2 linked regions of the Styela clava genome follow. The protein of the gene in region 1 purifies or fractionates together with the protein of each later gene. This does not show direct contact. Links are inferred from orthologs where the notes say so. Each region holds a gene or a part of one and is shown on either strand. Other genes may lie near its edges. The genes, in order: ribosome biogenesis protein BMS1 homolog and RNA 3'-terminal phosphate cyclase-like protein.

Region 1 (17,286 bases):
CGAAATTTCTCGCCGCAACTTTTCTGGACACACATTAAAACACGCCTCTCATTTATGCATGCAATAAGTTGGCTGAAATATTATTTACTTAACACCTAAGGCTGTGACTAAGACGTAAGGCTGTGGTCAGCTATAACGTTGGGAAATCTTTTTATATTTGCTGTCATATCCATAAAAAAATAACAATTATGATGACTTTTTTATAAATGCTTTAAAACAATTACTTAAAATTAATATTATTCACACATTTCGAATATTTTGTTGTTATTTTAAAATAAGAAGCACCTCAGATACTCTGCTTTTTATTTTTCCAAGTGTTTCACGAACGGCATCTGTACCTTGTCCAGTTTCTCGACTGATCTCCTCATATTTTTGTCTTGCTTTTTTAAGTGCCTGTAAAATTACATTAAAAAATAGATGTCATTGGTACATTATTATTGAAGACATTCTTCTACGCAGAAGATATATATCAAAGAGATGGAAAACCGGTAATTAGGATTAGATATGGTGCAATAAAATCTGAACTAGGTATTATAGCACACAGGAAACTTTTACCTCTGAATCTTCAAGTTCTTGTGCTTCCTTTCGAAATTTTTTAATACTCTCTTTTAATTCTGCGTCTTTGTTATATTCTTGTTTAAGATTATCTAAAAAATTTTCAAGAAAACCTCGTTTCGGTGAATTGAATTGCACTGATGATACCTGAAAAAGAAATTTGAAGCATTGAACTTTTATAATGTATTTCTGAAGGTATTAATTTTTTTTTATTATTTTTATTTCAGAATAGATGTATTATTTCAGTATCGACCAATATATTATATGCACGTATGAAGAGGAAAATATTTAGTTACAAACTTACAAGTATCTAAATCAGGGGTTCTCAACCTGGGGTTCGCGAACCCCCAGGGGTTCACGAGAAGATTTCCAGGGGTACTTGGACGGCAGTCAGAGTTTTTGTGTGTTGCTGTTTTTTAATACCCTTTATTACTATCAGAGGAAAATGCGTGTCGATTGAAACTAGATGCCAATTGGAACATAGATTTTCCCTGATGTTGCGTTGTTGTGATTTTGAATGAAACAAATTTGGTTTTTAGACAAATTCTACACGAAATAATTCACTAAATCAAAATTTATCAACGTTGAAGAGCTGATATATCTTGAAAAGGCCAGTTTATTCAAGTTTGACATGAAACTACCCAATGGATGTGGGCTGCTAGGCACAGTATTAGAATCAAAGATTTTTAATCGGTCACACCAACATAGTAGAGTTCAACACCATGAACTTGAATTTACAATAGCAATACTGAAATGAACTTACAGCAAGTGTTCTTGACACTGGTCTTAAAACATTCCTTGAATTAATTTTTGTTTCGACCGTACATGCTGTTAAAACAGGTATCGCACATCTTTGAAAAGTTCCTCTAGCGGCACCCCACATTGTGCTGCTTTATTTTAATTTTATATTACAAAATGAACTTTGACAAATACCTGGGCAATAAATATAATCATAGATGAGTTCTCTGTCCTGATTTCATATATACCATTGATCGAAACAATAATTTATAGGTGCTCCCGTAGTATGTGTACCAGGTTAGGGTAAGGCCATAACCTTCCGAATTTTATTCCGAATTTTCCTTATTTTAAGTTTATTACGAGTTCAGGGACTGTCTCTGTTAGCCAAGTGAATATACCATAACCCCTGCCCATAGGTTTCAGTCCCTTCACACAACCTGATGTAAAGTAGGCGAACAAAATTAGTTACCTCCATATTGGTACACACACTTCTGGAGCACCAATTTATGTCCAAATTTAAGATGATTCCAGTTTTTTCAAGTTAGAACGCTGATTCACAGTTTCTCACCAATGTAATTTATATTGCCTTGAAATCGCAAAGAATCCAATGCCTTAATAATAATTCTTAATTGAGCATCAATTCACCGCCAGCACAGATACCACTTTTTGTCTACTCTGTTTTACAATTCATGCAAGCCTTACAAAGGACCAATGATCAACATGAAATCCATGTCAAAAGGCCCAATCATATCATCCCCATTCAACCTCATTAAGTCGTGGCCAACCATCTTCTGGAGGTGGTTGCATCGACAAAGGAAGAAAGGGCAACTGCTTCAAAGAATCTGGGAGTACAGTTGATGTTTGAGGGATGTCAGGGATTTTCCGCTCAGAGACCGCAGCACCACCAGTTTTCTCAAGCTTTTCTTTGCTGATTTGTTTTTGTTTGTTTAAAGAAAGCCAGTTTTTGACAGTTCTATTGCTCATTTCATCTTTTTTTGATTCTTCATTAATTTCTTTCTTTATTCTCTCTATTTCGACATCGCTAATATGACGGTATCGGCAACTAGACCCAAATTGGCAATTCCCTGAATTCTGGTAATATTTGCATATTCGTGGCTTTGCAAGTTCGTCATTCAGCTTTTGTTGCTTAGTTTTGAATTTGTCATAATAGGCCTTCCGCAACTGTTGATGCGTACTGCTCACAACATGCTTCTTTCTCGCATTCAGATTGTCTAAAAATGCCCGATCGCAGAATTCACAGTAATAACGTCTTCCCATGTTTGTAATATTCACAAAACAACTTCAGTCTTCATGCCAATCAGTACTCAAATGTTAATTTAATGTGCCTGAAATTAGGTAATCATCTAGGCAAAGAAAATAATAAGACACTTAGTGAAATAGGACTGTTCCTATCCAGAGGAGGGAGAAAGACATACATGAAAGCACAATTTAGCATTAGTCTATGATGGCATCAATAATTACAATACCATTTCAAATACAGTAGTATGCAAATAACCTTAGTTTTGACACAAATACATGTCTTTTAAACAAGATGCAGTACGAGAAAAAAATGACATGTAAGCTACCTGACAGTAGACTGTTTGTTTATTCAATTAACATTATTCGAAAAATTTAGCTAAGAAACACAAATAAATCCCCTAAAAGTATTTTCAAAGAATATGCAAGAATAGAAACACTGCCTTTCATGCAATATCTCTCTTTTCAAAAAATTACTATGGATCAATCAACATAACACTGGCTGCCTTAGTGGAAAATACAATTGGATGATATTAATAAATGTAAAAGAAAATTGTTTCTATTTGGTATCTATTTAGTTAATGCCCTTATAAGTCGAAAATTCTGAATAGCTTTCATGCTTTAATTTAGCATATAAGATACAATGAGAAGCTCTTCAAGTGTAACTAAATTTCCTATCTTTTCTTCTTCTGTTTTTGATTCAGCATTGCGTAAGCTTTCCTTTTTGCTTCTTTATGTTTCCATTTATTTTTGATTTCCTCTTTTTCTAACATTTCTCTGTGCTTGAGATATTTGACCCTCTTCTCTTGTTTGGTCTTTTTCTTTTTGTCATGATCAAGCGCACGCAATGCTGTCATAAGTTCGACTATTTTTCTATCTTTCGGTTCTCTGACAATCGCAACTTTCATCATTCCTTCTTGTCTGCTTTCTATTTTTTCTCTTCGTAACTTCGGTCTTACTTTATATGGTAATTCTTTTTGTAATTTTTTGGGTATTACAACAGGATTGAAAACCCTAGTTTCTCTTTCGATTGGTCTATAAAGGGAGTCTTCGTTCGGTTGTAATTTCTGATCTTTTTCATGACGCAGTTGTCCGACAGTTTTCATTGCACTCCAACTATCTTTGTCGGGCAACATTAAATTTGCACAATTCAAAAAAAATTTTGGAACATCAACTGGACACCAGGTACGACAGAACACTATGTCACTCATCAATATACGATCTTCGAAAGATGCTCGGAAAGATCCGGCTTCGGATCCTCCGCTATTGTTCGGGCCATCAGTAACCGCTCTTTTTATCTGTCCTCGTATGCCGCTGACAGTTCGAATGGCTGCTCCCTCAAATTTAGCAACTTCAAGAGATGAGTTGAACATTCCTTTCACAAAACAGGTATTTTTAAATATCTTATATGGATAACCAATAAGCTTCAATTTTTTAACCAATTTTGTACTTTTATCAGATTCTAAAATAGTCCCAGAGGCAGTGATTCTAAAATTAGGAACGTCTCTATTTGCAAGAGCTTGGATTGCTAAGAATCCTGTACCTTGTGGGCAAAGAGGACCCCACATTACAGCCCAACAATGCATATTTTGTGGTGTATATTTAAGATATCTCTGTCTCAAATTGTGATCTTCCATATAATACATCGGCAAAGATTGAAATCTTCTCCAACCCATAGAAAATATCATTGGATTACGTGTTTTCAAAATTTTCGGATACCAGCGATGTTTTTTAACTCGAACTCTGATAAAGCCTGTTTGAATTTCAGTTGCCAACAAACCACCTGCTATAACTGGGTATGTTGGATTGAAATATTTTACAAACTCACAAGGAATATCGTGCAGTTCAATGCGAACATACATTCCGGGTCTGTAGCCTTCATATTGTACTCTAGTTGCGTCATCCATATCCTCAAATTCAGCACGGTTCAATTTCGCTTGTTCAGCCAGTTCAGTTTTGACAGAGTCGAAAAGGCTTCCACTTGCGGTTGTTACTTCACCATTTTCTTGGCTGACGTCATATTCCCGATCGAATATTTCTTTCATTTTTCGTTTTCTGGCAAGACGTTTTTCTCTCAATCTAGCTTCACGGTCATCGGGTTTCTTAATTCTAACTGTATCAACATCATCAGAATCACTTTCATTATCTTTAGCTCCAGATGTGAAAGATTGTCCTGTTTCCAAATCTTCAAAATCACCATACAAATTTTCATCCTCTTGTAATAAGTGAGAGGCGTCTTCATCTTGATTCCAATCACCAGTGACAAAACAATCACTGATACTTTGGCGTATATCTTCACTATTTTCATCCCCATGTTGTCGCCGCAAAGTTATGTTGCAGTCTTTATTGTCTTTCGTATTTTTCTTTGCTTTCATATTCCGTTTGACGACAAATAAATCACCAGCGACTTTTTCATCTTCCTCGGACTCAGAAGTGTCTGATTTGATTTCAATTTTACCATAAACCAACTTTGGAAGATTTTTCATCATTTTCTGCCTGTGAATATACAAATTTTGAGCTTTCAATTTCAAATTTTCTTTCCATTTCAGTTTACTTTCAGAAATGCCATTTGGTTCTTCTATTCCATTTTCAGATTCGTTACAACTTTCATCATCGGAATCTCCACTTTGATAACCTTCCTCATCATCGTCTGATGTAGAATCTTGCTGTTCACCATCTTTCATAGAAAAAACTGCTCTTCTCCTAACACGATTTGTTTCAACATCAAATGTTTTTTCTTCCATAGGCATTTCAATCATACTTTCTGCTTCGTTGTTCGTAATTGGTTTCATTCCCTCCAGAAGTGAAAATTGACTCTTTTCCATTTTATGATCAATAGTTTGTTTTGATAATGTCATTGTTCCAATCATTGAATCATCTACTATTTCGTTATCAATAGTTTCTATTTCACCGACTTGTCCATTATTCCTTTGTGTCGAGCTTTGCACATCAATATAAACAGCATCCTTATCATAAATAATTCCACCAACTCCAGACATAGGAGCATAAATAAGTCTTTCTTTTACATCCAGAGTACGCCTTTGTCTTTTTTCTCCCTTTTCGGGCAAAGGGCACGGGTCCGGAAGAAATGAGATATTTTTAATAATTTGATCCCCGACACCAGGAATATGAATTGATGAAAGATTTTTTAGTGGCATTCCACGGACGTAACCATACAATGATATATTCCGATTACAAATAGAATCTTGTCGAATTTTTTCAGGATCGGTTAGGTCTTCCATTCTATCAGTTAATAAATATGAATGTGTTGATCTCCATATCAAAGGTCTGAACTTCATTACGCTGATAAATCGACATAAATTATGAATTTCCATTTTTTGATATTCACCATAGACCATTCTGCTTAAATAAAACAACTTGGCACCTTGGTATATTTCAGTCCAAAATCTATGTTTTAATAATTTTTTTGTTTTCTTTATTTTCTTCGCATTGTCAATTGCATCCAAATGAGTCAAAACACCCATTATTTTTGGCATACCATGCACTTGGCAGATGTTCAAAAATTCAAAAGTTTCCATTTCAAATCCAAATCCTGCATCAACAAGTAAAAGTACCAAGTCCGCAATTTTTGCAATATCAATCATAGCACTAATGTCGTTCGGACATTCGATAATTGTGAGTCTACGATTTTTACCAGATACGACTGTGACTGGTCCTTGAATATTAGTCAGTTTTTGCTTTGTATAATTCTTTATAATACATTGTAACAAAGTCGTTTTACCAACCTTTGGTGGACCAACTATAGCAACAACGACAGGTGGTGGCACCTGTGGGGTTCTATCAACGACAGGTATATGATGTTTTTTCGTTTTGATGTCTTGTGCCCGATGAAACGACTTGGCTAATTTGTTAACACTTTGGATTGCATACGCTTTTGGGTTTTTCTTTTTAGTAGTTGCATCCTCTCTGCTGTTGTCTTCCTTCAGTTTCCTTTTTTCTGCTTTCCTGCCAGCTTTTCTTACTTTGTGTTGTTTTGATGGTTTATTATCTACATCCACATCCATAATGTATTATTTTCTAAAAATATATATGTATTGTTTAAACTCAATACTTTCAAAGGGATGAACGATGCAAAGTAATTGAATTCAAACGGATTCGATTACGGTTGTGGCCACTGTAAAATATTTTCAATAATTTGAGTACACAATTTATTGATTATCGGTATGTCTTGTACATGCACAAAGCTGAAAATAGTAGAATCAGTATTCGCATCAGTGTTGGCCCAATTCTTTTGCATGCCAGCATGCTTCCTGCAGTTAGACAATGTAGTTTGGGGACAATACCAAATAAAATATATAAGACATATTGGTCCCCTGGCTTTATTTCAAGCAGGCGTTTCGGTATCATGTCAGAATGTTAAACATTGGAAGCTTGGACTAGCATATTTCAATTTATTTCAGTATTTGAAGTGCATAATGAAGCATTAAAAAGAAAAATTACAAAATGCCTAGTTTAGTAGTCAACATCTCAGTATTTTATTGGGCCAAAATATAAGTTGATGGCAACAATCGGGCCATGTTTGCAAGTACTTCTAGAGGACGTGGCACAAACATTAGGTATAGCATATTATGGTATTCCTAACACAACGTCATTCAAAATTTATGTCCCTGAGACATCACAGTAACGTAATAACGTAACGACTCACTAACGTCAGTGATCTCTCTTTTATCGGTATCGTTTCACAAGAAAACGAAAGAAATAGACTGCTCGATTTCGGATGATTGTCTGGCGACCATCCGTATACTTTGGAGGCCGTATTACGTCACTGCGACTTCGCAGCGATGTAATTTTCGGATGACATAGTCAGGTGGGGGTTATGAATGGTCATTCCTGAGCCAGGCCAACTAGAAGTAGGGTGGCTTAGCCACTTTGCTTAAGCCATTTAACGAACCACGCGACATTTCTCACGCGTCATCGTCCACTAGTAGCTCAGCAAAATTACACTAAAATACGGGCACAAACAAAAAAGCTACGACCGAAAACCCGACCGGAGGAAAAAAAACGGACCATTTTATCATGTTCCAACTACCCATTGTCTCCATGAAAATCCATACATATCTAAGAGATAAACAGATGAAACTTGGCAGGTGGGTAGAGTTGTGTTTCTTTTAACCATCTTTAAAGTTTCGCGTTTCTACATTTAAAGGAGGGGGGAATAGGGGGGTGCGCATGTCCAATACGCCGATAATATCTTTGTCGACCAATTTGCGACCACCGCCAGACAGTGTTTTTGTCTGTTTGATTGCTGTGATGCGTTGCTTTGTTTATAATTTGACGAGTTTTGTCAGAAATAACTGTGTTCTTAAAATATGACAGTCAGAAATGCAATTATAAGCCCAATTTTTTCCCGCATGGCTGCGTATGCTCTAGTCTTGACACAGCAGAAACGATGTTCAAGGCTTGAAATACGTGGTCGCACACTGGTCGTTCGATCACAAATTTGTCTTCCGAGTGTCGTACTTTGGTGGTTTGTATAGCTTGAACCCCTCGTCATAGGGAGTTATTTCGAAGTTTAGCGTGTAGAATAAATGCCAATGCACCTACTGTGAAAAAATTAACAGGTTAGAAATATTGGTTTTTGTTTTATAACGATTTGAATTTAATTGTCCACAGACTGGCTCCACCACCCTACTTGCGGCGTGTACTTAAGGAGACCCCCGGATTTTCGGGTTCTATTTAGTTTCGTACCTGACTGCCCGAGGTACTTCTAGTGGGCGTACGCGTACCGGTAGCATAACAACTTTAGCATCTATGTCAATCCTGACTGCGTCATCCAAAAATTACGGTACGTCACTACAGCACTACGGTTGGGATGCGGACAACTCGACTACACGGACAACTCACCAGAGACAACTCGACTACAGAGAGGCCTGGTGAGTTGTCCGTCTTTTCACATTTTCTACGGCGGTGTTTTAGGTATATAGAAATGCGTTTTTGATATTTTTAGTGCTTAAATGTTGATTCGATCAAGCTATTTATCTCGTTTTCTCCAAGCAGCGATCCCGATATAAGAGATCGCTGCCGTTAGTGAGTTCTTTATCATCGACGCAGATGCCACTTTCAGACTTCAGGCGATCGGAGATATACTTTGGCAAGCTCTACTGCTCTATGACGTGATTGTGACATGATTTTTGGATGGCGTAGTCAGGTGGGGGTTAGGATTGTCCTGTAGAAAAATTGTTGTGCTACCGGTACGCCCACTAGAAGTTTTTGTTTAGGTACCGTACTTAACTACCCGAGACCCGGATTTTCTACATTCAGACATTTTGAACAAATATGATACCGGTAACCCAGTACCGGTAACCCATTTTATATACTAGTCCCACATCCAGACATAGTACGCTTTATTATTGTTTCAACTTATGGGCAGACCTACGCACTTCACTACTTACGGTACTAGACTACCGCTACCAACGTCTGAAGGTTGAATCTGTTAAATGAAAGATCAAACAATGCGATACTGGCGGTAGCGCAAATCTGCAGATAGAGAACCTAAACACTTTCGAGAAAACTTGCAACATGCTGTATAACCAATGTTGCCAGGTTTTTTGTTTCGGCTGTCGTAATTCTTCGCTTGGAAAGGTCCGGTCCGGTAGGTAATTGCCAGATTTGGCGAATTCTAGTGATATTGGCGTTTGGCCAAATGCAAATAAGTAAATGTATGTGTTTTTTTCGATTTTCCGTTACAACAAAACAATACATGGCAAAACAAACAAATAAACGAGAAATCAGGAAAGTAGGCGAAATCTAAAAAGGATTTCAGACGTGCTGATGCACGTGCCCCCTTACCCCAAACATACGGGCTTTGACACCAAACAGCAAACAACACAATTGGAATAAATTTAAAAAAAAATACACAAAAGATAATTCGGGCGTAAATACTTTGGTGTGGATGCGGAGTTTGAACATGGACTGCAGTTAAGGTAAGGTAAAAGGTTTATTGGCGTCTTTTACAACCGGATCTTTTGCGCCAAATAACAAAGAGAGTAGTCAGTATGGTACAATAAAATAGGTACACAGCTCTCGTTTGGTGGATATAGCAAAACTAATAATAAATTGAATCAAATCAGGAACATTGAAAATACGAATACTTTCCCAGGGCACATTCATTTTTGCTGCTTCACGTCTTAATTCGCATCGTAAGTTATTATACCTGGGACAATATAAAATGGGAAACAGTTCATTTGTATCACATCGAATACAGTGCCCTGTGGAATGTAGCCCTATTTCAAATAAATGATAGTTGAGTCTGATATGTCCAGTTTGAAGACGAAAAAATACTATTTCTTTTTGGCGGGAAAAATTGAAATAGACAGTCTTTTGGGCTATATGAGTTCGAAAGTTCTTATAATGGCTTGCAGTATCGTTAGCTTGGTATGGTAAATTTCATTTTGCAAGACATGCTTGCTTGCACAATGTCTTAGCTTCTTTCAATGACCGTTGAAAAACAGCATTGATGACAATTCCATTTGCTACGTCTTTCGCCAGTCGATCCACTGCATCATTACGCTAATACCAATATGTGCTGGTTGGTATCCACAGAAACTTGATATCAGTCGTGTGACAAATAATAGAATGAAGTAGTTGTATTTTTGTCGATAAAAAATGCTTAACATTCCAAATTTTCTGTATGCTTTCCAATGCAGAAAGACAATCGCACAATATTAATACTTTTGAAGGCCTATTTTGTGATATCCATATCAAACTTCGCTATATATATGGCAGTTTCTACTATATATATCTGTATAGGTAACGAGAAGTGTTAAATACAACAAACAAGCGGTGCGCGATTGGTGATGATTTATGTGATTACAAACGCACATGCACTCAACTAATAGTCTACTGGACATAAACAATAATAATAAAAGCAGCGTAAAAGTAAACAACAACAAACGAAGCAAAATATGACAAGAGAATTTCACGCTCTGGCGTTCCAACTTCAGTTTCAGTCAAAATCCATGTGTATTGCGTAAGCAGTCTTTTTTGGAATTCATCGTGAAATATCCGTTACATCTGACGTTTGGCAGTTCATGTTATCCTCCGCTTCGACCAGTTTTTCGTGATAAACTCCATGCAGGTCAGCGTGATCTGATGCAAACTCACCCATATCGTATCGGTAATGTATCCGACTAGTTTATGTTGTGTTTGCATTGATTCTTACATGATAAAAAAAAATTATCTGAATCTACTTGATTCCTAGAACATATTGTAATTTATTATTTTTCCTGATAATTGTTTTTATGAGTGCCCGTGCACAGAATTCACCAGTAGGCTATCGTTTAGATTTAAGTTTGTATTTATCTTCTCAGGAGGATCTGTGTTAGTCCGGTTTTTCAAGTTTTCGTCCAAAAATTTCTTACTTATACTTATATACTCCAGTATTCCACCGTTTAACACCATGTCAGCGTTCGACGGCGGTCTGATCAGTTTCAAGGGATGAATAGCATGCGTCAGCAAGGCCAGATGATGTGGCTGCATAACGCATTGCTAGATTTTAAGATACAAATTACCACGATGCATTTATACAATTGTTTAGTATTGTTACTTTAATATTTTCGACGAAGCAGATAGCAATAAGCCCAATACCACAAATATCAAATGTTAATTACTAGAACGATGCGCTCAAAATACTTTACTTTTACGAATTTCTACATTTTACGCGTTGTTAACAAAGACCTTATAGCGGACTTCCAAGGTGGCCCAGTCTCAACACGCGCCGAAGTTCTAGGGCAGGGGTCGGCAACCTACGGCCCGCGGAGTAAAATCATCCGGCACGCGATGCTTTACTGAAATTTAGCGACAAAACGCTCGTGGAGCAGATTATATTGAACACGGTGTGGACATATGAATCGTTTTCTTAAAATGTTGTTGTCTGCTTGATTTCTAAAAAAAGTATCTACTTGAAGGAAATTTGTATTCAAATTTGGCAAACAATGCCAGGTGACCAGAGTGTCACCTGGTGTCGAAAAGCTATCAAGCGTAATGCAACAACAAGTATCACAATAAATGTCATTTTTAAAATTTTTTGCCAAGTAAGACGACTTGAGTCCACGAGTGGCAGTGTTCGCTTGCTATTTTAGGTCTAAAATTTTAACTTACTGATCTGTGTAAAAAATGTGGTTCATCAACCACCCGTTTGGTTTTAAACTCACTTAAAAAAAATATGTGCGACCACAAAGATTTGCAACCTTTAGTTTTGGCCCGCGAGCGACAATAGGTTGCCGATCCCTGTTCAAGGGCAGCACCCTCGCACTTTATAGGTGACGTAGAACTCAAAACAGTTAGGAACAGTTTGACTTGGAACAATGGTAACTCGACTTAGTAATATAAAGTTTTTTAAATTTATCGGGGCACGAGATTTGACTCGTTACTTGAGAACTTTCACCCAAAACCATGAAGTATGCTTCCATTTTGCCCCCAGAACAGGGGTCGGCAAACCACGGCCCGCGGAGCAATATAATCCGGCCCGCGACGCTTCACTGAATTATAGTAACAAAGCAGCTGTTTTGACGATTATATTCTTTACGTAGAACAGATTATAACGCAACAAGTATAAAATTCCCAATTACTCGTTTATTAATGAGCCTATAATTCTATCTACCATAATTAGACAAATGGCAACAAAACGCAGAAAAGTTCATTCAGTTTTTAAGCGGCTCGCGTAACGGTTTATTACGACCCGCCGAACTTAAGTGAAATAATTCAACACTCTCTCTATCTTTAGATATCCCCAATTTTGACCTCATTACCACAATTTAAGCACGTGTATAATCGTAACAATTCAATTATATTGGTATCTTGATAATACGTACCGACAGAAGCATCTGCCCCTTGCCGGCGCGCAAATATCGTCCCGCTTCTAATTTTGGCCCCCGGTAAATTACCTTTAAGAACCACTGTCTTGACTAATACTGTAGCAGGAAAAAATAAAATACAATTTCAATTTATGGTGGCGCCATTCATTTATTATTATTTTTTTTTTTTTGAATCTGCAATATCTTTGTAAAACAATAAAAAAACTAAAGTATAAAATTAAAACGAGTTGTCTGTTTCTCGGTCTGTCCGTCAAGAAACTCCATTTTAATGATCTGATAACCGTAGCTCGCCGGAGTCTGCAATTTCTTCAAGTTCATGCTCAGCCACGAATTGCTTGAATTCCTCTGAAATAGAAGTGAAAGGACGTTAATAGTGTATGTTATAGGAGAAAGTCACAAATTGAATCGGCTGTTTTGAACAAAATCTTGTCAAGTCCAGTAAAATCAGAAAATAGATCAATCAGGCCAGTGGTTTTCAAACGGTGGCGCGCGTAGACAATTTTTTGAAGGCGTGAAGCTAACTGAAAATGAAAATATTCATCAGATTTCATCTTGCCGGCCTTCTTTACATTTCAAAACTTTTCATTTTTTCATTATTTACGTTCCATCCACGTATTTCTAACGCGTTTTTTAAATAAAACATACTTTCGCCTAACTATCTGTTATTTGTTGCTTATTGTTAGCTATTTTTTTTTTTGGAGGTGGGGCGCGAGACTTGACAAATTCTGAAAAAGGGACGTGCAATTGCTATTTATTCAATTTAAAGTTGCTTCGCGCAATCCAGTGATATGCGCAACATTCTAGGTTAAGGGTTCAGATAGAGCTAAAAGTATGGTCAGACTCGTGAACTTACAATGTGTGAAATACTGTGACTTGACTAAATATCGAATAGGAGAATTTTGGCCTATTTCCAAACGTTATAACACCCTACATATCAGTTCTTTCGTATCCAGTGCAAACACTCTACCGTCAAATTAAACAAATTACCGTCAGGCATGCTGGCAAGTTCGTCCAACATTTCCACCATGAACTGAGCTTCACCATCTCCAGATTCTGCCGCAATTTCATCAGCGATCATGGACATTGCTTTCATATAGGCTTCTTCGTCCTAAACAAAGAGAAAGTTGTGCTGAAATTTGGAAGCTACAAAAGTAACCAATGTCAACGGTTATGGCGTTGTGCTTGGCGTTAGGAACACGTTGCTATTTGATCTTTTGATTACTCTATGCGAGAGTGCAGGTTGAAATTCAGCGGGTATAATTATGTGCGACAGGATTGCTGTACTCCTTGGCGTCGTGGGTTTTTTGCATAACAGTTGGGGCTTCCTTAACTATCAAGTACACGTTTCTAAGACGAATACCCAGTTAATCATATTAACATTGACTCGTAAATATGGGCAATACTCAAGAGTTGCCATTCAATACTCTGCTTTATCAGTTAATAGCAAATAGTTCACGCCAGGTAAGATTGTTTCAATAATATTTCGTCACGGGCATTCGCGGCAAAGCGAAGAATTTTTACGACATTTGCAATGTAAATGGAAAACGTAAACATTTGATCTTCATACGACACGTATTCGCGACTTTTGCCCCTGCACAAGTATCACTTATATCTCTAGAATTTAAACTCGAGATTTGTAACCTGTGATGCTAAAACGGTCAAGTCTTAACACTTTAACTCTCTGACAGCTGTTGACCCAATTTATTTGACATGGTCTTTTTAAAGTTATTTTTTTTGTCAACCACTAAGCCCTAAAGCTTCTCTTATGGATTTTTAAAGGCGTGTGCTAGAGTTCTATTCAGCAATATATCTTTAAATTACACTCCGAAAAAAAAATTTTTTTGCAAAAATATCTCAAAAATTTCTAAAAATAAATTAGACTTTTAGAAATTCTGTGTACAGTAGAGGGTTAATAATTAATTCCTAATTAATTAATTTTTTTTTCAACGTTTTCGTCAAGTTTTTCCTAACACAACATCACCGAAACGCCTATTATAGCATAAATGGTTATTACTCTGAAATTCACAATTGTATCTACAGGTGTATCAAGTTCAAGGCTAAAATTACTGATTTTGATGACGTCACAGCTCTTATTATTACTGCACAGACCACCCCCAACGCAAAAAAATTAAATTTTTTCGACGGAAATGCGCGTAGAACGGCGTAAACAATCCCATACGCGCATTTACGCGTTAAAATTACCATTAATTTTACGTTTTTTTTAACTACAAAAAATCTCCATACTTCTGCCAACTATGGAGCAGTCAAAATCATATTTATCAAAACAACACAGCGCCAGGGATGGTCAGGGATAGTATATATGTCTGAAAATACATGCTAAACCAACAATAAGTCATTATAAAGGAGTATTTCCTGTCTGAGCTGAGTCGACATTTTCAGACGTCTGACAGGCGATTTTGAAATCCACGCTATTTATAGAATTCGCACGATGCGTCACGGCTGGAAGGTTCCATCGCTTCTCTCATATCAGGCGATAAAGTCAACAAAGAGCTAAGAGCGATATTAACAGTAGTTTACCGAGCACAAAATTAAGCGTAAATATTCTCTCATATGAGCTTAGCCGCTGGAAAAGGGTTAATAAACGCTAGCTTTATGTCAAACAGATTATAGTGGATTACCTTTTCTCTCAGCTCTCTCAGCTCATTGATTTCTTCTTTGTTGTTCCATACAGTTGTAAGATATTTTTTGACCGCTTCTATTGCAATGTGGCCCCCGCTATAAAAGTAAAGTGTCGTAAGTATTCAAATAAATGAAGAGTATAATATATAGAAGAATATAATAATCGTCGTTTCAATTTTTTTAATTAGACTCCCTGCACCGCAAAAACTAAGCATCAGAGAAAATTGATATTCGAATTTTATATCGCACTGGAGAAAGTGTTTCTTATTTTTACCACGGACACACCGAAAACTTAACCTCAAAATAAATTTGTTCTTTTTATTGTTTAAATCGGGTGGGCAAATTGTGGCATCGGGCCGTATCCGGCCTGTCGAAGTGTTTCATCCGTCCCATTAAGAATATAGTTTTATTCATATAATTTTCCGTGAAAAATATCAATGAAAATAAATTGAGCTTGAAAATAAGTTGAACGTCACTTGCTACTTAACTTGGACGTCACTTGCAACTTAAAAAAGTAAATTCTTGCCAATGAACTTAAAATTTTTATTTTAATGTTAAGAATACACAAAAAACACTATTAGTCTAGTACATTTGAGGTGTGTGACATGCGAAGAATTCGCGATGGGGTACTCCCGCTGTATGTGTACCAGATTATAATAGTTAGGCCATAGTTTTATTCTAATTTTTACTTATTTTAGTTCTATTACGAGTTCGGGGACTGTCTTTATTAGCCAAGTGAATATCCCCCAGTCCATAGGTTTTAGTCCCATTACGCAACTTGATGTAAAATAGGCGATCAAAAGTAGTTACCTTCATATTGGTACACACACTTCTGGAGCGCTCGCAAAGACAATAAACTGTTCAGTGTAATAAATTAAATATTTATAGGATCAATGTAAAGAAACTTACGTAGTTCCTCTAATACGTTTGTAGGCCTTCACAACCCTCTTAACTATCCTTCCTACTCGTCGAAAAATTCTCCTCCAGCCCCGAGACTCCTCCACCAGTAGGAGAGAGAATGCGACAAAAAGAATAGCTGCAACTTTCAGACGCATTTTCTTTGAAGATTTTCTTTATTCTGAAACCTATGATGTAAACAAATTAATACACAGATTGTTTGATGACAGGTTCGAACCCAAAGTCAGTAAAACATAGATAATTAAATAGATCGCATAGTTAATTTCAGTCTCGCCGTCGTTAGATGACTTTGGTTCGCATCCCAATCACCATAGCTATTTGACAAAAGAATATAAATAAATACCTCGTTGCTTTCAAACAGTTGGTCTTTGCTCTTCGGCGTGTTGTGTTATCCTGCCCTCCACAGCGTGGATTTATATTTTCTACGTGCATATTCAGTATCCTGCGCATATACAAAGAATTCAATATTGAACAATAGGTAATACTCTATATCTACAATACTACAATAATGTTGCATAATTTAATGAATATCATTTCAATTGCCACAATGGCGTGTATTCTGGAAATATCTTATGACACAATAGCCTGCTTATAGTCTTTTCCAATAATAATAGTTTATTATATTCAAGAATCTTATTCTGTATTTCGTTTTCATTTATTAAGTTCCTATTAATTTATATGTTTTGTGAATCTGTGCATCCATTTCAATACTGAATAAAGACGAATGAATGCATTCTTATATGAGAACAATTGCCGACATCTTGGTTTCCTTTCAATTAAATATACATTTATATTATACCTTGACAATCGTACAATTCGGTAGTCGACTAAACAATTCTAGTCAATAATGCTGCGGTAATCGAACAGGAATTCGCAGGCTTGTCCGTGGGACATATATCATTCTATCCCATTCCCATCCCGTAGCAAATATGCCTGCCCCGTCCCACAAGATTCCCATTGGAATAAAATTCAGTAAAAATTGTTAAATTTAGGTTTAGCATCTAAGAAATAGGACTACATGTACGAAGAGACATGCGAACAACAAAATTTACGGACTTTGTTAACTTTGTATTCATAACTATTATACATGTGTCCATCAGCCCTTTCACGAAGTATATTGTTAATGCTGAATATATTTCGCTCTTTATAACTGACCAGAGAGCTATGCTCGAATATATGGACACGTCTATAACGAAATGTTTTACTATCATTTCCCGAAAATCATGCGGCCTGTCTCTCGACAATTCAACATTAAATCAACAATCGATGCTCGACTATATGGAAAAGAAAGCCAAAATGAAAGAGTTTTGGTATCCAATATGTCACAGTATAGGCTACCAGT
Region 2 (15,195 bases), on another chromosome or scaffold:
GTAATTCAGTATGCAATAAATCATTACAAAAAAGGTTCTATTGAGTTATAATTATAATGTTCCAAAAAGAATCAAAAGTTGAAGCATTACTAAATAAGCCTGCTGAAAAAAGATACTGTGTAGCTCTTAATAAAACTTCCGTAATGATCAATCAGATTTTATTACAATCAACTAGTAAGACGTGAGTCAATATTCATAATGACTTGAGTCTATCCATTGAAAGGACTCAACTTGACTCAGTTATAGAAACCGATTTGACTGTGCAGTGGTTGAATTGACTTATCAGTTCCATGACTCCCGATCTTAAATTTTGAAATTCATTGACTCAAATACACAACTACGTCAAAAATTATGATTATTATTCACTAAAAACAATATTGAATCTTTAATTTATTTGGTCCCCATAGCTTATATCCATAATTAACTTCATAACATATAGTCTCCATAACTTGTATCATTACTTACAACCACCAAATCATTCATTCATTATTTTATTTCGTTTATCTCATAGTTTTGCTGATATTAGAGTATCCAATCCCAACACAAGTCATTATAACTTTATCACCGCCCATCCTCCCCCCTTTTTCATCATGATCAAACGTTTTTGTTTCAAGTTTAAACATTACTTGGAAAAAATCTCTTATGTGTCTTAGCAATTCTATTGTGTAGTCCGTTAAAGAACCAACCATCAATTTAGAAACATCTTGCTCGCAAAGAACCATGAATAAAGCTGCTAGTCCTTGATTTACAGAGTCCACACATCCTCCGTTGAATATTTCTTCGAGCAAATCGTTTGCAGTTTTTGTGCCTAATTCTTCAGGAATAACAGGTTCACCCTGCCCTTTGGGATTTGATGAATTTTCCACGGCTAAAACAACACCTGTTGTGGTTTCCGCGGTTAGTACGATTCCAAATCCAGGAGATTTCCCAGCAGCATTTCCTTTCAAATGATCAGCATAAATATAAATATCAGGCAAATAAGTATTTAACACAGACCTTGATGATTCTATAACACGATTTGGAATTTGTGGAGAAACATTTGATGCAAAAGCAGTACCACGTATCCGTTTTATTTTTCCTTGGTCGAAAAACTGAAGGGGTCTTAATTTTCTTGGATTTGGACATTGAAAAAACACCTCACCTCCCCCTTCAGGGGCAAATCCTCGCTTAATAACTTTGAGTTCCAGGTCATCAAGCACTCCGAACATTCGCATGACTGGTAAGCTTGTCAATCTATAAAAATCAACTGTCGGATCAGATGAATCATTGGTTACTCCACGAAGCGTCGCTTTAACCCTTTCTTTACAAAATGGTGCAAGGAAGAATATAACCTCTAATAAGTAACTGATGGAACGCTGAGGGTTACAATCATGATCTATCACCCCACCTATTAACAATCCAGGCCTAAAGATTAAAGTAGTTCCAGTGACATTGATTTTCGTTGTGGTTCCATTTGTAATTTTTTCCAGAAATCTAAGAAGATTAGCTTCGTATTCATTCAAACCAGGACTCTCGCTGTTGTCTCTGATCGAGGAAATACGAACAGGTTTTCCACTAAGAATTGACAGAACCAATCGTTGTCGCAAGTAATTTGCTCCGACATATTCTAACATTTTAAACCAGTTTAGTGAACAGATTAGAAATGTAAATTCTGAGAATAAAAAAAGAGAAAGGTACCCTATTAACCAAGAATACAATGCAGAACTGACACTGCCATACAGGAGTTGTCATATTATATTACTAGTTAAAAATATTCTTGTCTATCAAAGCAATATATCGCCGGATGAGAACAGAACAGGCCTAAGTCACAATTTTGAGTTTTGAGAAAAACGCAAAAAACAATTTGGAATTTTTTTATTTTCGACTTTCTAGATATTCACACTTAGTAAAAACCTGAGCTCTGAGTATTTTGATGTAGATGTCAATATCTTTGTAATCAATATTTTTTGGCACTTCAGCTTTAATTCCTTCCTGCTTTTTTAACCCCATAATGGACTTTGGCCCATTCTGTTCTCAACAACTTCTGAATTTTTTTGTATGGGATGCAAGGTAAAACAAGGTGACTTAGGCCTACGTTGCACTGAAGAAATTTTTAGGGATGCAAGTTTCGGACATTTCATTTCTGATGTTCATGCCCATCATATTGGAACTTGGGACTATCTTTTTTCAGTATTTTGGGGTTTTGAGCCATGCTCTACAAGGTGGTGGTCTTGAAATTCTCAATTTTCATAATATTAAAAATTTTAGCTGGACTTAGGTCCATTCTGTTCTTAACTTCTACAGTCCTAAGTCCAGCTAAAACTTTTATTATTGAGAAATTCAGGATTTCAAGACCACCACCTTGTAGAGCATGGCTCAAAACCCCAAAATATTGAAAAAAGTGAATTTTGCAAAAATGTGACTTAGGAGGCCCCTTCTGTTCTCATCCGGCGATATGTTGTACAGTATGATATATATAACAGAGGCTTGCTCTCAAGGTCAAAATTGACTAGGTACGGTATAGCTGCATAGCGAGCAACTGATTCATGCGTAAAAAGAGCTTGAAACAGAAACAGTGCAAACTGGCAGAACAAAACCAATATTCTACCCATTCCAACACTCAGACTAGTCATATACACACACACCATCTTTCAAACGATGTAAACAGCTAAAATAACCATTTCGGTTTCTTCATAATCATAATCACATTCCCCACGAACTAAAATGTTGTAGCATACGAGACCCGACACACTGACAAAGAGGAACATAATATGAAAGCCCTTGAAAGACGCTGTCCACTACCGCCACCAGCGTGGGAATTTTAGCCAGGCATGTGTGAGAAAGCAAAGCTACTGCCATCCAAATCGTTATTCTTGGGAGTATCTGGCACTGTGGTCGAAGGTTCTAAGTTGAAATTGTATTTTATAATAGTTTAGGATTAAAATAAGGACCTCTGGGTCTAGACCGTGCGCGAAGAGTTGCGCTGGCATTCCAAAAAAATGGCTGGAAACTCCCCATGATGGGAATGATTTCGGGAGTAGATTAGGAATTTTGAAATCGGGGATTATATTCAACAATTCGGTGGATAAATACGGAAAAAAGTGACCGAACTTCGTTCGTTTTATGATCCGACTACGTCTTTTTATTTTTACTTCTGTTTTCTCTGGATTTATTTTTTTTGCCCTATTTTTCTTCTTTATTTCGTATTTTCTATCTACTTACGTGTACTGCGTGTATTTTCTATCTACTTACGTGTACTGCGTGTCTGCGCTCTGGCCCGTCTTGGTTCCATTTTTTACTCACCTTCTTCGCCTGTCGATCGCAATGCCTTCTGGACCGCAGCATCGATCGGTCTTTCCATCCCATCCTTCGATGGATTTGATTTGTTCTTGAGGACCAGGTTGTGTACCAGGTAAGGGAGTTCAGGATATGCGCGACTCTTGGTGCGCTATCTTGTTTTAATTCCTTCCTTCTTATTTTGTCTTAATCCTATCTTACCTCTGAATTTTATTTTATTTATTAATTTGTTACCTTCTTTTTTTCCTTTTCCTGCTGCATCGCATCCTGCTTTTTCTTTCTTCTATCCCTCTTTGGGGGTTACTGAAGGAGTTCCGCCTTCTTGTCCGCACTTTCCAATTCTTCATATTTTTCAGCCTCTAGGTTTTCTTCTAATCCCTCACTCTTTCTTTTTTTTTTTTTACACCCTCACATGCTGCCAACCGTTTTTCCCTACAGTTTTTTTCTCTGCTGCTGCCATCACAGTCTTTCTTTTCACCCTCATCACAGTACACCTTTTTTCCTTGCTGAATTTGCTTTTTCCCTCTTGGGTTCTTCTCTCACAGCCCCTTCGCCGTTTCTGCTGCCCATTCGGTTTTCTTCTCATCCTCATGTTGCCCACCGTTTTCCCCTACAGTTTCTCTAAGTATCCCTGCGGCTGCTCATCGGGGCTTTTTTCCCTTTCTTTGGGATCCTTATTCTTATCAGTCTTTTTCTTTTCACCCTCCTTCCTGCCCCATCGTTGCTTTCTTTCCCCTTTCTTCGATCCCTGTTTGTTCATTTTCTTTTCACCCTCATGCTGCCCACCGTTTTTCCCTACAGTTTCTCTTCTTTCCGTTTCCCTTTCTTTTCACCATCATGCTGCCCACCGTTTTCCCTACAGTTTCTCTGCTGCTGCTCATTGGGCTTTTTCTTCGATCCCTTTCTGATCCTTTCTTTTCACCCTCTCCTGCGCCCGGCCTTCTTGGTCTTGCTCACCTTCTTCGCCTGTTCGTCTCGTCTTTTTGTCCGCGGCCCTTCGTTGCTCCCTGCCTGCCCTCCTTTATTTCTATACCTCTCTTACTGCCATCCGTATTTTTCCTTCTGTTTCTGTTTTTATTTTCTATTTTGTCGTAGGGCCCTGTTCACTTTCTCTATTTTGTTTTGATCTACCTCATCTATTTTTATTCATTCTGGCTTGGGGACTTGTACCTCCTGCAGGGTTCGAACCCAGCCTTGGTGCTTTACCGTACCTACACGCTTCCTTTGCGCCACAGCTTCTGACGAAGATGTGAGGGATCAAAACCTTAATTAATTAGCAACGTCACGCTTGGCAACCCTCTGCTATTTACTTCGACAATTAACAGGCTGCGTTGATCAAGACACGTGCATTCATAAACCATGGTTTTAACTTCACGTCTCACTGTTGGCATCGTCATTGGGAAATACGGTGACCGTACATTTGAACCCATACATTTGCGCCCGTATATCCGCGGGATCAATCTATATGAGGGTTATAAAATCCATAGGTTAGGGTTAGTATGGGTTCAAATATCCGCAAAAAAAACATTTCCATAGGTGCAATAGTATGCAGGTGCAATTGTCGTGGGTTCAAATTACGGGTTCAAATGTACGTGGGTTCAAATGTGAGCGAACCGGAAATACACTTATCTAGAGCAGGGGTTCTCAAACTTTTGGTGTTGCGGAGCCCTTGAAAAGGTTAACTATTATTCACGGAGCCCCGAAATAAATGTTAAAATTGTTTCTTTCGGATTAATATTCCTGAGCAAGTTAAAAGTACTTTACTCAATTTAAATGCTGAACCTTTTTTGAAACGGTTAATACAAGTCATAAAAAAATCTAAATTTCAAACATAAATTATATATACTAAAGCTGTAAATTTGACACTTGACAAACATGGTCGAATCTTTTCCCTTTTGACATGTTTGGAAGACTTAAAAGGCCGCTAATAATGTGCGCGATTGCATTTTGTTACAATCGCCGATTTTTCCTCAGCATGGCGTGTTTTTGAACCTTTAAACATCTTCACGCCGGTGTTTATTCTCCCTGATTCAAATTTCTTTCTGCATATACATGTATTGTTACACAATGACGACGTTAATGGCTTTTGTGTTCTCGTGGGGAATTATGAGTTCAATGTGAAAAACATGTTACCATATTATAGTCATCGGCGACGAAATGCTAAAAATAATAATTAATAAAGAGATAAATCTGCAACTCAAATTTCTTGATTAAAAAGCGGCATTCTGAAATATTAAAACTAAAACTTAAAATGGAAGATCACACGTTTGGTTTCAGCAGACTCACCTAGGATTGAAAACGCTTTTATAGACATTGCAAATCACAGAATTTGGTGTTATGTTAGGTTTTCATTGTAGTAACTGCGAAATCGAAACACAAGTCAATTGTGCGCGCGATGTAGGCCTACCTTTTTTTCCCTTTTTGAAACTACCGACGGAGCCGCACGCAATCAATTGTGCGCGCAATCCGCGATGTACCTTTTTTCATTCTGAAACTACCGACGGAGCCGAATGCAATAAAATAAATTTCAATTGTTCGTATTTTGCCCAGACATTGTGTTTTTTTAAAGGGCGATATCTTGCTTAAAAATAATCTCAAGTGCGAAAGAACAAATCAAGTTTGACAAATCCCAATATCGCAAAAATACGACTCCAATTTATTGATAGTTGGCAGTTTATCACATATTTTATGTTATTTCAGAATAATATTCTTCCATTTTAGTAATCCTAATAGTAATCTCGAATCAAACGTGAGTAACGATGAGCACAATTACATTATAACGACGAGACACGTTAAATGCTCGCATTGGTCATGGATTGAATATTTCACACAACAGAAATCTCGTTATACGTTTTTTTTAATCGCGAAGAATGTTGCGCGGTAATTTCCGATTCCAATTTTGAACCACCTCCCTCTTAAGAATCCTGGCTGCGCTCCTGCTTATAAATAATGTCATTTTTTAATTCAGCCTCTTTGCCATATTTCGAGGCCATATTGTTGTCAGATTTTATCAAAGCTGTTATTGCTTCTTTAAACAGTTACAAAATTAGTCAGTATTTTGAAAAGTAATCGAATAGCTCGCGGAGCCCCCGGGTTCCTCTCGCGGAGCCCTGGGGCTCCGTACGGAGCACTTTGAGAACCTATGATCTAGAGCATAGGTTCTCAAAGTGCTCCGTACGGAGCCCCAGGGCTCCGTGAGAAAAACCTAAGGGCTCCGCGGGCTATTCGATTACCTGGCTACTTTTGTAACTGTCCAAAGACGCAATAACGGCATTAATAAAATGTGACAACATTGGCGTCGAAATATCGCAAGGCCGTAATTCAAATATTACATTATCCACAAGCAGGAGCAAGCCAGGATTTTAAAGAGAGGGAGGTGGGTGTTCAAAATTGGAATCGGAAATTCTTGCGCAACATTCTTCGCGATTAGGCCACTCGTTAAAAAAATACCTTTCCAGCAGATAACGAGTTTTCTGTCGCGTAAAATATCAATCTATGGCCGACGCGAGCACGATAATTTGATTGTGTTCATCGCTACTCGTCTTTGCGTCTATATTACTATTACGATTACTAAAATTAAAGAATATTATTCTAAAATAACAGATTTCAGCAATTCAGAGATTTCGACAAATGTGAGCCGTTCCTATAACGCTGACTCCGCCCTATCGCATGTCTGCCACTCAGATTCTTTCAAAGATATATATCACCCTTTTGGAAAATCACAAGATCTGGACAAAATACGGACGATTAAAATTTATTTTAGTGCAATAAAAAAAATTGATTGATATACTTCACAATAATTATCTTATATATCGTCACATATCGAGAAAAAGTCGCATGCGGCTCAGTCGGTAGTTTCAGAATGGATAAAAGTAACCTATATCGCGCGCACAATTGACTATGTTTCGATTTCTGTTACTACCGTATAGTTCCCAAAGAAAACCTAAAATAACACCAAATTTTGTTATTAACATTGTCTTAAAAAGCTTTTTCAATCTGTCACGAGTCTGCTAAAACAAAACTTATGGTGTTAGCTGTTTTAAGTTTCAGTTTTATTATTATATAATGCCGCTTTTCATTCGAGAAATTTGGGTTGCGAATACACCCCTCTATTAAATATTCTTGGCATATCGTCGCCGATGACATATAATATACTAACTTGTTTTTCACACTGAACTTATAATTCCACACAAAACAAAAAGAAATTATCGTCTTCTTCGTGGAACAATTTATGCATATGCCGAAAAAAATTTTGTGATTAAAGGAGAATAAACACCGACGTGCAAATGTTTACTAAAAAACATATCAAACTGACGAAAATAATCGGTGGTTTTATCAAGATGTGATCGCGAACGTTATTATCGATTTTTCAGTTTTCAAAAATATCAGAAGGGAGGTTCGACCTCGAATTTATTAATATGTTTGTCAAGTGTCAAATTTACAGCCATGATATATAATTTATCTGTGAAATTTAGATTTATTCATGGCTTGTATTAACCCTATTAAAAAAGTTTAGCATTGAAATTGAGTAAAGTAATTTTAACTAACTAAGGAATATTAATTGGTAAGTAACAATTTTAAAATTTATTATGGGGATCCGTGAATAATAGTCATCCTGTTCAGGGGCTCCGTAACACCAAAAGTTTGAGAACCCCTGATCTAGAGTCACTTAGATCAGGGGTTCTCAAACTTTTAGTGTTGCGGAGCCCTTGGAAAGGTTAACTATTATTTACGGAGCCCCAAAAGAAATGTTGAAATTGTTACTTTCCCATTAATATTCCTGAGTAAAGGTGAAAGTACTCAATAACCTTTCTCAATGGACCTTTCCCCGACCTTTGACCCCTGAAAAATTTCTCCCATACTTTACCATTGCAAAATTTTCGGGGTTATTTTAAGAGTGCTTTTGCGAGTTGACGCCTGTAAAATGAGGTATATGTTACAAACCATCAATATGATTCATCGCATACAACAATCTGTTTTTTAAAAGTACCGGTAAAGAATTTTAGCCTAGTCTATCACAGCTATTTCTACATTAATTTTTTATTACTGCAATTAAATTAAAACTCCGAGGAAGACAGATTGATCATTGCAATATCTGATTCATATTTAAGTTTCCGAAACACAACAGAAAACTAACGAATAGAGTTCAAAAACGCGAAAACGAGGTAATGTTTACAACCGCGCTTGAAAATCTGTCTGAGTGAGAATAGTGTCTGAGCGGATGCGAAAAGGGAGCATTGTTACGTCACTTTTTGTATCTTGCTGATTAGCCAATGTCACGAAATAAACAAGGAAGTAAATGCTCGGGGAAAGGTCCATAGAGTTAATACAAGTGATAAATAAATCTAAATTTCGAAGATAAATTATGTATACTAAAGCTGTAAATTTGACACTTGACAAACATATTAATAAATTGAGGATCGAATCTTTTCCCTTTTGACATTTTCGGAAGACTCAAAATGACGCTGATAATGTGCGCGAATGTATTTTGTTACAATCGCTGATTGTTTTCGTCAACATGGCATGTTTTTAAACATCTTTGCGGCGGTGTTTATTCTCCCTAAATCAAAAATTTCTGTCGGCACATAGCCTACTTGTATTGTTCCCCAATGACGACGATAATTGCTTTTTTTTTCTCGTGGGGAATTATGAGTTCAATGTGAAAAATATTATAGTCATCGGCGACGAAATGCTAAAAATAATAATTAATAAAGAAAAACCGCAACTCATTTTTTGATTGAAAAACGACATTCTGAAATATTAAAACTTAAAATGGAAGATCACACTATAAGTTTGGTTTCAGCAGTCTCACGTCAGATTAAAAACGCTTTTATAGGCATTGGAAATCACAAAATTCAGTGTTATGTTAGGTTTTCTTTGGTTATTCATCGTAGTAACTGTGAAATCGAAACACATTAAATTGTGCGTGCGATGCACCTTTTTTTCATTCTGAAACTACCGACGGAGCTGCATGCAATAAATTAATTTCAATCGTTCGTATTTTGCCGACACCTTGTGATTTTTTAAACGGCGATATCTTGCTTGAAAATAATCTCGAGTGCGAAAGAACAAATCAAGTTTGACAAATCCCAAGATCGCAAAAATACGACCCAATTTATTTATAGTTGGCATGTTATCAAGTATTTTATGTTATTTTAGAATAGTAAAACCTTTTATTTTAGTAATCTTAATAGTAATCTCGAATGAAACGGGAGTAACGATGAGCACAATTACATTATAACGACGAGACACGTTAAATGCTCGCATCGGTCATGGATTGAATATTTTACGCAACTTAATCCGTTTTTCTTTTTGATCGTGAAGAATGTTGCGCGAAAATTTCCGATTTCATCCCCATCGTCTCTTAAGAAGCCTGGCTGCGCTCCAGCTCATAAATAATGTCATTTTTTAATTCCGCCTCTTTGCCATATTTCGAGGCTATATTGTGTCGAATATTATCAAAGCTGTTATTGCTTCTTTGAACAGTTACAAAATTAGCCAAGTCAGTATTTTGAAAAGAAATCGAATAGCTCGCGGAGCCCCGGGGCTCCGTACGGAGCACTTTGAGAACCTATGACTTGTCTTAGATCATCTTTACAATCTTTTTTTATTTATTTATTTTATCTTTTACATTATTTATCGTTATCTCGCTTGCTTAATTGCCGCGCATTGTTACATTTGGGTGGTGTCGGATTAGGTCGTATTGTTTGGCATCCTTCTTTTAAATCGGGAAAATGTTATCATTTACTTGGGGATAGCGTAGTGGAAGTACAGAGATAAATGCACAGCAAAAGTTGAACACAACAGTAGTAAAACGGAAAGTTAAATCATATATCAAAAAATAAACCAAATAAAAAATATTCCAAAATCAGCATAACCACCGCAAAAATACCTTATTGAAATACCAGGATTTTCATAAATGGTATTCCCTGATCGGGACTAGAAAAATGGGACAAAATTTATGAATCGTGAATTTTTGGGATCCCGACTCCAAATATGGGGAATAGGTAATACTCTTTATCAGCCTCTCTATCTGCCCAAAACTATAGACCTAAATTTTCTGCGAACTTTGAGCGGGTCCCTTCACCGTGAAATGACATTTTATGTGTGTTTCTAGTTTTTGTTTTGTATTTCCAGTATGGCAAAAAAATAAACAATTGACTGCAGATTTGTTGAACCCATCGAACTCAATCGGATCCGTTTAATTTGAGGTAAATAAAAGCCATCAGAATGTCATTCCTTTTTCACAACAAAAAATTTCTTCATTTTCGCCAATATGACGAGAAGGAAATTGTATCATGGGCTGAATCACCCATTAAGCATGTGCTTAGCCTAATGGCATCAAGAGAAAGGGGACACCAAAGAAATTGCCATAGTCGAACTTTGGCGCCTCGGTGTTTAATGAAATAATTCGAATTGATCTGACGACCGTTTCAGTTTTTAACAGTTTTGAAGTTACGCTGAAATGGTACCTGATTCATTTAACGACCGACGCTTTTAACAAAGATACTGTTAAAAACGTTTATTATTAAATGTTTAAATAGCATTTCACCGTAACTGTAATACTGTTAAACATCGTCAGTCGTTATATGTTTGAATATCATTTCACCGTAACTTCAAATACCTTAAAAGAGCACAATTTGATGCAACCAATATGAAAAGGTGGTTGCGCATAACAGTAATAAAGTTAAATAAACAACTTTTTAAAGTGATCATTATTCCACCATAAAAAATAGCCAGAGCTTTACAGCCCTGTTTAAAAACGAGAAAATCTTTCTACTAAATAGATATTTTATTTGATATCAATAAATTCAATACAATTTCACTAAAAATTACAATTAAGAATATAATTTTCAGTAATTCTTCCTTTATTTAAAAAATCTGCCGCAAAATTTAAATTGCATTTTAAATCCTCGTCTATGTTTTCTTTGTTACAGTTCTTGCAAACGGAAAGGACTCATGAAATAACCTAAATAAATAGAGAATTTGATGTAAAAGTGGATTATTTATTATAAAATACCGTTGATAACTGTATTTTTACTATGACATCACAACGGCTGTTTAATCTGACGCAAAAAGCACATTACGACTGTATTAAACCGGAAAGTGAGCAGACAAAAATTGTAAAAGTATTGTTTAATTGTTTTACGTCAATAAAATTTATAATAGGTGCGGATACGCGTAAGAAATATGTATTACCTTTCCCTGCTTTAGAAGGGCAATCGTCTATTTTATAGTAACGAATGTCTTCTAGAGCCTCCCTGAAACTGACTGCCTTTTTGATCTCGTTGTTTCGACCACTGGAAGGTACAAGAGCAAGACAGGACTTTCCAGGAAAAGCATTGTTTGGTTTGATATATTTCGCCATCTTTGTGATTTCAACATCCTTAAAAAAATATATATTCGTTAACAATTGTCGTTATTAATTTATTGCGAAAGATCTAAAGATGTTAAATCGCCGTGACGCGACAGAGTTTACAGTATTGAATTCCGCGTTTGAGGGGCTTTTTGGTGTCTCGTCCAAACATAGCATTAAACCATCGCTAAGCAGTTTTAAACTATCAGTTAATTCGCCGGTTCAACTTCCAATATATATCTGATATTATATTTTATTTCCAAAAATTTCAGCCATCCACCTCCCTTATAATTCTTGACATGATAAACATATGTGTCGCAATTCACGACCGCAGTATATGCAGTCACAATTGTGCTATACAAATAGTTTCAAATAACAAATATAAATTGAAACATACCTCTGCACTTGGTGAGAGTTCATCATCGCTTGGCAATTCATTCTGGAAATCAAAAATAATGTTTTTGTCGAGTATTATTAATAGTAATACTCTACATTCACTGAATTACATTACACTGACAATATCAGAGAATTGCTAGAAATTTATTTGGAATGAAACAAACAAATATAAACTTACAGATGATTTACTTGATTCGTCAGTATCGCTGTCAAAATCATCCTGGGTTGACAAAAAGTATAGTTATTAAGATTTCATAAATTCAGCTTATATAATATAATATATGGCTTTATAAGTTTTTGGACAAGTACGTATTTCCGTTTATGTGACTTCGAAGCGCAGATATACTTTTTTCGCAGTAGTTGCAACGTTTAAATCTGGAGTTAGAATAACTTTGTCGGGGAATCGTTTGTTTTCAATTTCATTTGATTATGCCAACAGCGCTATTTAGACTCCGATAACTTTTGTAACTTCAAATTTTGTACACTGCGACAGGTTGGTAAAGCAAACGTAATGATTCGCCTGGGTATCCCACATCCTACCATATGTTACATAGAATCATATCCTGATTTTTATGAAAGTGTTAATTCAATATTTACTTCGTAATCATCTTCGCAATCTTCATCGCCCAGTTTTTGACTTTCCTCATTGGACTGAAAACAACAATAAAAATATGTTTATGTGAGCATTTAAAAACTGTAAATTTTTACCTGTGCTATCTGTTGGGTTTCTGTGGGACCAACTATTTATCCCTCATGTGGATCCGTGTGCATATAATGCCAGGATGCTGTAGCAAGAATCAAGATAACTATTCTGAGTTTTCAAAAAGTAAGGGGTTAATTTTCGTCAATTGCTCACTTTTCTCGTCAATTTGTTTATAAAACTTAACAAACATATTACCTTTGATTTCTCATCATCTTGATGAGTGTCGTTAATTTTTTTCTCTTCTACTTTCTCATCGTGAGATTCCTAGAATAATCAAAATGCAATACTCGTACTAAGAAATCCTGCTCAGGCAAAATGTGTTGCGTGCAATTTAGGTTTAAAATTGAAATGTCTACCAAGGCTATACAGTGTTCGGAATTACGAAAATAAACATCACAAAAAACTGAATACTAAGTAATGCAAAGTCAGGCAAAACACAATTTGTGAGTGAGTTTATAGCTGCCGCGCTTATGCTTTTTGTAAAAAATCCCAAATCTGCACTAGTTTTAAGTGCTACAGTTGCCAACAGGGCTCAGTCAAAATGCCAAGAACGCAAAGGCAATTTCGTAATATTTTACCAATTGATATTGGCGGCACGTTTACACATATTGTTGCAGATGCATCTCTATCTGAAACAGGCATAAAATTTAAATTATGGCTTTTGTCTATTGTTATTACTCAATCGCTCTCTTTTTAATAAGTCCAGCATTTCGAATACGGAGAAAAACTCACATTTGTAGCACTGGCAAGCTCATCAGTATCGCCAATTGGAGATGCCGATGGCAATGGAGATTTGTTCTCTTCTACCTGAAAGTAATTCATGAACGAGATTATTGAGATTAAATAAATTAAAAATTAAGCGATTTTGGGACGGTAATGGTTCATTATTGAAAACTTGTACAATTTTACCTCTTTTTCCATTTGTGATATTTCCTTGGAAGACATTTCCACATTGAGGTTGTCTTCGACGTTCTAAAAATACGAGTATGGTTTTGCATAAGGATTTATGTATACCATGCAATAACCATTGGATCTAGTTTATTTTACTACCGTACAAGTACTCCCGTAGTGTGTGTAACAGGTTAAGGTTAGGCCATAATTTTATTCCGATTTTCTTTATTTTAGTTCTATTACGATTTCGGGGGCTGTATCTGTTAGCCAAGTGATTATACCCCTGCCCATAGTAATCAGTCCCTTTACACAACTTGATGTAAAATACGCGAACAAAATTAGTTACCTCCATATTGATACACACATTTCTGGAGCGCTACTGCACCTAATCCCATACTCATCCACGACCAATTGCCGTAGGAAAACCGTAGTTAGCTATATTTCAGTCTTCGTCTTACGGGACCAGTAATGGGTCCTAAACCCCGAGTCAGGTCATCTTCGTCTCGAGTCGACTCAATCACTAAGGTAAATCGTGAATGACTTCAGCCTATTCTACATTATATGAATATGAATTGAAATATCGAGAACAAATTTTACGTTAGCTTTGCCAGTCAGCAAAGTATTGTTAGAATCTTCAATTGGAAATGGAGTTTCTATCGGAGCTTTGTCGTCAGTTATCTAGAGGTAAAATACGATCATGAGTGATAGAAACTTTGTCGGATGATTGCACGATTAAATGACTGGAACGTTACCAAGAATGTAAATGTTTCATAACAATGATACTTGTGTAGTATGTGTACCAGGTTAGGGTTAAGCCATATTTTTTTTCCGATCCTCCTTAGTTTAGTTCTATTACGAGTTCGGGACTTTCTGTGTTAGCCAAGTGAGTATACCCCCTGCGAATAGGTTTCAGTTCTTCTACACAACTTAATGTGAAGTAGGCGAACAAAATTAGTTTCATATTGGTACACATACTTCTGGAGCGCCTTGGATAAATATATCATCATAGGTTACATACTGGGGTATACCAACTTTCTATAATCTATCTATACAGTCTACATTTACCAGCAATAAAAGAATTTTAAACGTTGCGGTAAGTCTCAAAGGTTTTGCATTTTGGCTCGGACTATAGAAGAGGATTCATCGTTATTTAATACCTTGTTGTTGGGTAAAGAACGCGAGTTGCCATTGGAAGAAAATTCTGCTTTGTTGACTTCATTTTTCTTTCCCTGTGTGAAATTACAATCACAAGAATTATAAACTCAGCTATGCTTAAGTTATAGTGAAGAATAACCAGATAATTCTCCTGTGTTTAATTTTGGAATTGTCGTATCATGAATATTCCTTACTTTTAGTCAATGAACGTCTGATCTTACTAATTTCCATTCGCAATATTGTTTCTATTGAGTTAAATGCTGTTAAAATTGCGCCTAACGCAACGTTCGTACGAATGTCTACTTATCATGACCGTCAATCAAGAAACGAAAATTCAAAACACTGAATACCATTGTGTATTGTGGGCGCACTTTGCATATCGGTTCATCGTAAAAAGGATCGTATGCTCTTCTTTTAG

What was found.
Region 2: the proteins of ribosome biogenesis protein BMS1 homolog (region 1) and RNA 3'-terminal phosphate cyclase-like protein purify together in Homo sapiens (co-immunoprecipitation; 4 studies listed by BioGRID and IntAct, with this or other methods). This does not show direct contact. The link is inferred for Styela clava from reciprocal best matches to the Homo sapiens genes BMS1 and RCL1.

Annotation. Positions count from the first base shown.
Region 1 is NC_135264.1:2,032,435-2,049,720, reverse strand, and holds ribosome biogenesis protein BMS1 homolog, read right to left. Parts: upstream 6,867-17,286; 5' UTR 6,576-6,866; coding exon 3,225-6,575; 3' UTR 2,657-3,224; downstream 1-2,656. Other genes in the region: mitochondrial import inner membrane translocase subunit TIM44-like, read right to left, coding at 286-393, 556-702, 1,319-1,438; zinc finger matrin-type protein 5-like, read right to left, coding at 2,044-2,571; uncharacterized protein LOC120334427, read right to left, coding at 12,652-12,731, 13,374-13,494, 15,026-15,122, 15,936-16,081. UniProt on the Homo sapiens protein: GTPase required for the synthesis of 40S ribosomal subunits and for processing of pre-ribosomal RNA (pre-rRNA) at sites A0, A1, and A2.
Region 2 is NC_135262.1:5,502,134-5,517,328, forward strand, and holds RNA 3'-terminal phosphate cyclase-like protein, read right to left. Parts: upstream 1,673-15,195; 5' UTR 1,614-1,672; coding exon 501-1,613; downstream 1-500. Other genes in the region: uncharacterized protein LOC120332205, read right to left, coding at 11,208-11,245, 11,476-11,662; uncharacterized protein LOC120332662, read right to left, coding at 11,842-11,925, 12,030-12,071, 12,207-12,248, 12,626-12,679, 12,927-12,995, 13,464-13,538, 13,641-13,703, 14,220-14,300 and 2 more. UniProt on the Homo sapiens protein: As part of the small subunit (SSU) processome, it plays a role in 40S-ribosomal-subunit biogenesis in the early pre-rRNA processing steps at sites A0, A1 and A2 that are required for proper maturation of the 18S RNA.